Linked DNA regions of Canis lupus familiaris. Each later gene encodes a partner of the first gene's protein in a complex. Links are inferred from orthologs where the notes say so. Each region holds a gene or a part of one and is shown in the gene's direction. Other genes may lie near its edges.

What was found. Proteins that work in one complex are often made in the same cells at the same time.
Region 2: the proteins of XIRP2 (region 1) and NEBL are in contact, whole or in part, in a crystal structure (PDB 4F14), measured with the Homo sapiens proteins. The link is inferred for Canis lupus familiaris from reciprocal best matches to the Homo sapiens genes XIRP2 and NEBL. Residues at the interface, in NP_689594.4 of Homo sapiens: Pro2420, Pro2421, Pro2422, Thr2423, Leu2424, Pro2425, Lys2426, Pro2427; in NP_006384.1 of Homo sapiens: Tyr963, Asp964, Tyr965, Asp969, Asp971, Glu972, Ile987, Asp988, Asp989, Gly990, Trp991, Met1004, Pro1006, Asn1008, Tyr1009.

The regions. Positions count from the first base shown.
Region 1 is NC_049257.1:12,519,810-12,523,379, forward strand, and holds part of XIRP2 (xin actin-binding repeat-containing protein 2), read left to right. Parts: coding exon 1-3,570.
Region 2 is NC_049223.1:9,996,009-9,999,578, forward strand, and holds part of NEBL (nebulette), read left to right. Parts: intron 1-1,869; coding exon 1,870-1,980; intron 1,981-3,570. UniProt on the Homo sapiens protein: Binds to actin and plays an important role in the assembly of the Z-disk. May functionally link sarcomeric actin to the desmin intermediate filaments in the heart muscle sarcomeres.

The DNA.
Region 1 (3,570 bases):
AGCCTTTAGATTCCATCAACAATGGCTCTCCAGATGAAGATAACATCAATAAGGGCATTGCTGGTCAAGAAATTATTGCTGGTGGTGATGTGAAATATACCACATGGATGTTTGAAACTCAGCCCATAGATACTCTGGGGGATCATTCTTCTGGCACTGAAGAAAATGCTGAGAAAATTCCTGAGCTAGCCAGAGGAGATGTCCGCACTGCCCGGTGGATGTTTGAGACAAAGCCATTAGACTCAATGAATAAAATGCATCAAGAAGAATCAATGGTAACTGCCACAAAGGACATAACTGGTGGGGATGTCAAGACTGTGAGATATATGTTTGAAACTCAACATCTGGATCAGCTTGGACAGCTTCATTCAGTGGATGAAGTTCACCTACTACAACTCAGGTCTGAGCTCAAAGAAATTAAGGGAAATGTTAAGAGAAGTATAAAATGTTTTGAAACTCAACCATTATATGTTATTAGAGATGGCTTAGGTCAAATGCTAGAAATTAAAACTGTTCACAGAGAAGACGTTGAAAAAGGAGATGTGAGAACAGCACGTTGGATGTTTGAAACACAGCCCTTGGACACAATTAACAAGGATATCACAGAAATTAAAGTTGTCCGAGGAATATCTATGGAAGAAAATGTCAAAGGTGGGGTGAGTAGGGCAAAGTGGTTATTTGAAACTCAACCTTTGGAAAAAATCAAAGAAGAGTCAGAAGAGGTCATCATTGAAAAGGAAACAATAATAGGTACAGATGTCTCCAGAAAGTGTTGGATGTTTGAAACACAGCCATTAGACATTCTAAAAGATGTTCCTGATACAGAGCCTCTAAGATCTGAAGAGATAATAGGGGGTGATGTACAAACTACTAAGCATCTATTTGAAACACTTCCGATAGAGGCTTTAAAAGATAGTCCTGATGTGGGAAAACTTCAAAAAATCACTGCCTCTGAGGAAGAAAAGGGAGACGTTAGACACCAAAAATGGATTTTCGAAACCCAACCTCTGGAAGACATTAGAGAAGATAAAAAAGAGTACATACGAACAGTGAAACTTGAAGAAGTTGACAGAGGAAATGTAAAGAATTTCACACACATCTTTGAATCAAACAATTTAATTAAGTTTGATGCATCACATAAAATAGAGGTGGAAGGAGTCACAAGAGGGGCTGTAGAGTTAAACAAATCACTTTTTGAAACAACACCACTTTATGCCATTCAAGATCACCTTGGAAAATATCATCAAGTCAAGACAGTGCAGCAAGAAGAAATCCTAAGAGGTGATGTAAGAAGTTGTAGGTGGCTTTTTGAAACAAGGCCCATTGACCAGTTTGATGAAAGCATTCATAAATTCCAGATAATCAGAGGAATATCTGCTCAAGAAATACAGACCGGAAATGTGAAATCTGCTAAATGGCTATTTGAAACCCAACCTCTTGATTCGATTAAATATTTTAGTAATATGGAAGAAGTAGAAAGTAAAACTGAACAAGTGACAGATATTGTTAAAGGGGATGTCAAAACTTGCAGGTGGCTTTTTGAAACCCAACCAATGGAGTCTCTTTATGAAAAAGTTTCATTAATGACTGGCAGTGAAGAAATTCACAAGGGAGATGTCAAAGCCTGTACCTGGCTCTTTGAAACTAAGCCACTTGATACCATAAAGGATGACTCTGAAGCAACCACCAAATTGCAAACTGTAAAACAGGAGGAGATCCAAGGTGGGGATGTTCGTACGGCATGTTTTCTTTTTGAGACAGAAAATTTGGACAGCATACAAGGAGAGGAAGGAAAAGAAATCAAGGCCGTGGAAATGGATATCCAAGCTGGAGATGTCTCCAGCATGCGGCATAAATTTGAAAACCAACCTTTAGATTCCATAAGTTCCAGTTCAGAGGAAGTTTTGAAAAAGATCAAAGCCCTAAAGACTGAAGATATTCAGAAAGGCAATGTTTTAAATTGTAGGTGGCTTTTTGAAAACCAACCAATTGATATGATAAAAGAGAACCACGAAGGTGACGAATTAGTTAAGACAGTGACAGACGTACAAGGTGGGGATGTAAGAAAGGGGTGCTTTATTTTTGAGACTTTTTCTTTAGATGAGATTAAAGAAGAATCTGACTGTATCAGCACCAAGAAAACAATTACTGAAGAAGTAATGAAGGGTGATGTAAAAAGCTACAGAATGCTCTTTGAAACCCAGCCACTCTATGCAATTCAAGATCGAGAAGGCTATTATCATGAAGTGACAACAGTTAAAAAAGAAGAGGTGATTCATGGAGATGTACGAGGAACGAGGTGGCTTTTTGAAACAAAACCACTAGACTCAATTAATCAGTCAGAGACTGTATATGTTATTAAATCTGTCACACAAGAAGACATTCAGAAGGGAGATGTTAGTTCTGTCAGATACAGATTTGAAACCCAGCCACTGGATCAGATTTCAGAAGAATCACGTGATGCTATGCTCACTGTGGACTATATTCAAGGTGGGGATGTAAAGGCAGGTAGACAATTTTTTGAGTCTGAAAACAGTGGTAAGAATACTTATGTAAGAACAGTAAGTGTCAGTGAAATACAAAAGGGCAACGTTAAAACATCCACTTGGCTATTTGAAACCCACACCATAGATGAGCTGAGAGGAGAAGGGTCAGAATATGAAAACATCAAAACAGTTACCCAGGAAGATATGCAGAAAGGTGATGTTAAGCAGGCGGTATGGCTTTTTGAAAATCAAACTTTGGATTCTATTAGGGAAGCCGACGAAAGCACCACAAAAGTCATCAAGGAGGAAATCCCTCCTTCTGATGTCAAGACAACTACATGGCTCTTTGAAACCACACCCCTTCACGAATTCAATGAAAGTAGAGTAGAGAAGGTAGAAATTATTGGCAAGAGCATTAAGGAAACATTAGAAGAACTCTACTCTCAAAAAGTCATTGAGGCTCCTGGAATCATCATTGAAGCTGGTGAAGTTGGGGATGTTCGAATGGCAAAATACAAGTTAATGAATCAAGCATCTCCTGAGATACAGAAAGAAGAAATTATCAGGGTTGATCTCAGAAATATAATAATGAACCTACTTTCAAAAAGAGACTGCACAAGAAGGGAGATTTGGGTTAGTGAAGAAGAGAAGGGCAACGTTAATTTGACCAAAACTCAATTATTAAACCGATCAACAGAATTTCATGCTGAAAAAGAAGAAATAGTGAGTGGTGATGTCCAACAAGCAATAAAAAACCTGTTCTCTGAGGACAGGTCTGTAAAGAAAGGCATCTTAATTCAGGAAGATGAAAGAGGAGATGTTAATATGACTATCTATTGTCTTCTTCATGAAAACACTGGTGACACAATTAAGCGTGAAGAAGTAATAGGGGGTGACGTAAAACGTACCATTCACAATTTGCTGTCTTCCATATCGAACAATAAGATATCCGAAAGGGCGAAAATCGATGCTTCTGAGAGGGGAAATGTTCAGTTTTTCACAACATGCATAGAGACTGGAGCTTTGGATTATCTTAAACAACTCCAGGAAGGGTCAAATGAAACACTGACAGCTAGGAAACAAG
Region 2 (3,570 bases), on another chromosome or scaffold:
GAATAACTGTATGAGACTCAACCTCATCTTTTAAAGAAGTGAAAGGCAGAGAATTGGGAACCGTGTTGTCATGATCCGTCAGTAACTGTGGTGCGGTTCACGTGCTCTCCTGTTCACGACCCAGCAGTGTCCCCCAACCCTTTCCTCGGCTGCTCAGTGACCCCCTGCCCCATAAACCTCTTTATGAAATGGAAGTGGCCGTTGCTCACTTTACGTGGAATTTGTGGGAAGGAATGAAATGCCTCTGAAGTGCTGTTAGTTCTTTCATCCTTGGCGTCTGTCATGACTTTGGAATCAGGTAATGGCACTGAGCTTTGAGGAGAGTCTGACTGAATTGAGAGGTGAGAAATTTAAAGTTGTGTCCTCACAGGCTTATAAACTGTTGTAATGGTGATGGTGGTAACCCTACTAGTCAGGCTGCAAATGATAGGAACCCAACTTACACTGGGTTATGCAACAAAGGGAATGTTTTGGCTTGTGAATAGAGAAAGTCCAAAGTCTATTTTCTTTGAGGTTGGAATTTGAATGATGTCTCTCTTCCTTCCTCTCTCAGTTCTGTTATCTTCTCTATTGCTTCAAACTTGGGAGGCTATCTCTAAGCTATGGCCCCTCCTAACAGAGGGATAACTCATCTGTGCCAGTAATCCCAATGGGAAGTGAGCATCTGTTTCTTATAGTTACAGTTAAGGTCCTAGGAATGAATCTCATTGGATCAACTTCTATCCTGCCCTAATCTACACCTGCCCTAATCATTGTGTCTGGGTCCAGAGGAGTGTAATGTGCTGATGATCTAGTATGGTTCTCATGGTCATTCATTTGTTCAGTTAACTTCTTTGGTAGTTTAATTGCACTGTAAGTACAGAAGATTCAAGGGGCACCTGGGTAGCTCAGTTGGTTAAGCATTTGCTTTCAGCTCAGGTCATGATCTCAGGGTCCTGCGCTCGAGCCCCGACTCAGTCTTCCTGCTTCTCCTTCCCTCTACCCCCTACTTGTGCTCTTTCTTGCTATCTCTCTCAAATAAATAATAAAACATCTTTTTAAAAGAAGGATTCAAAATTATTATGTTTTTTAAAAAATTATAGCCATCTTTGGCTGTATCTGTGTTCTTTAAATTTATTAAAGCATTAAAAGCCACTGTCATGTCTTTGGTTAATATTATCAGCACATATTCCTAAATTAGTAATTCTGACCGATTCTTCTGTTATGGTGACATGTGCAGTTCACATTAAGAGGTCGATCTTGTGATCACTTGTCAGTAATACTTGGAAATATCACTTCAGACTCTCAAGCGCAGAGTCCATCCAGAAACAGTTGAATGGCATGACAGCGGCAGGAACAGCAGTGAATCAGCCTTAGCACATGAATAGAGGAGTAAAAGACCAAAAGAAGTTTTCAGTTATTGAACACCTACTATGTGCTGAGCACTATGTTATATGCAGTCTCATTGATCCTTGGAGGGCTCGTGCATGGAGGAAATATTACCCCCATTTTGCAGATGAGTAAACCATAGATGTTAAGCATTCCCAGTTTGAGTGCTCTGGCCTCAAAATCCGCATTCTTTCTACAGCATCAACTCATTTAAACCCACCTCCCTCACCATGTATAGAAGAAATCTTCAGAGCTTCATATAACCTTCTTCAGTGAGAATAGTGATATAGTTCTAAGCCGTTCAGAAACTTAGTTCTAGGTGATCATTTCATGGTACAATGTAAAACGTGTTTTCTTTCTTTCTTTTTTTTTTTAAATGTGTGCAGCCATTTTTTGGTATCCTTGATTACAGATGAATGTCTGTCTGCAGAGTGTCTAAATATTATAAAATGTTGCTTTATTTATTTATTTATTTATTTATTTATTTATTTATTTTTACAGAAAGAATACAAGAAAGACCTGGAGTCAAAAATTAAAGGGAAAGGAATGCAGGTTGGCACCAACACCCTTGAAATACAACATGCCAGAAAAGCTTCAGAGATAGCTAGTCAGGTTAGTAGAGTAAATGGTGCAGATGCCTTAAAACCTTTATTTTGGAACTTTGCAAATCATATTAACAGCCTGATTAGTACATGGAATTCCCCAGAATTTTATGAATAGTTTAAGAGTTTGGAATGGAAACCATTCCAGATCATCATGCTTGTTTGAAAATATATGGTTTCTGCTTTACTCATTTTCTTTAAATATCTAAGAAACGAGGGGGAAAGCATTTTACTAGAACACACACACAGGCCCTTTACAATACAACAAATACAACAAATTTCACATTCATCTAGACTATAATAAATGTTCTCATACTATGTTTTCTTTAAGGATAGGTCATGTGCTGTTTGGTGTATTTGTGTTTCCAACTTTCTGAACAGAACTTGAAAATTCTGTGTTGAGACTCTGACATGACAGTGATAACCATTTCTGTATAATTTGGTTGCATGTTCTCAAAATACCCCGTTGACCTCATCACCATGCCTGAAATTCCTACAGGGTTAGCATTTTGGATTGAAGTATTCTATATATCCTGAATGACCATGTTCGTTCATCTAATATTTTCCTCTTTGTGTAATGCATGTAATGACAGGATATTAATTTAGAAGTTTTGGCTTAGATGCTCTGATATGATAGATAGCAGATAACAAAGTTGTAGGAGTCAGACCATATGTGCATTTTTTGAAGAAAATGCCCCAAAACCAGTTCCATACCTCTTGAACTCCTCCAGCAATTCCGAGATTATAGAAGTGTCATTGGAATACAGAGTATTTGGGAAGAGGTGATTTTTTGAGAAACATTTAAAAAGAGAATGTTGAGATGCAGGTAAGGAGTACTGCTCACTTACCTCAGGGCTGGCTGCGGAGAGTTTTAGTGGGATTCCTCTGAGAACTATAATGTGACCCTTCCATTTAGGAAGAGCTGGCCCAGGATAGACTCCCCCCACCACCAGGAAATCTGGAGAGCTAGAGATAGCTGATTAACTGCCCAGTGAGCCCAGTGAGTCACTGCTGTGTTGGGATCCGCTTACGGCCCCAGGTTAGGGACTGGTCAGGGTAATGGGATGGTCATAATTGGTTTGGACCAAGAATCTGGGGATGGCATAGGAGTCTTGACCAATAGGGGTTTTACTTAGAAATGGCAGATTTGGGGGGGCGGGATGCATGCTGAATAGGCACTGGACCCCTCCTTCCATTCTCCTCCTGAAATATAGCCATTGTTGCAAATTTATCCTGCTGGATCTATTTTTATGTGTAGACAGATAAACATACACTTATGCACACATAGACTTAAAAAGTCCTTAAATACCATGTATTTTGTTCTGTGCTTGGTTTTCTCACTTAATATTATGGAACCTTTCCATGTTACTTTGTATAGCTTTACCTCATTCTTAGAGAAAAATTAAGTGTTTCATAACAAGGATGTGGATAGGAAACCATTTACCTTTTATTACACTTTACATGCAAATGACATGGAAATGGAATGGAAATTTGCAGATTGGACCAGATTCTTGGAAAGAATAGAAGTTTTGTATTTCAGACTTTCACCTAAGAACAGACTTCTAAGACCTGCTCCTTTTATGAAATGTTGGAATATCAT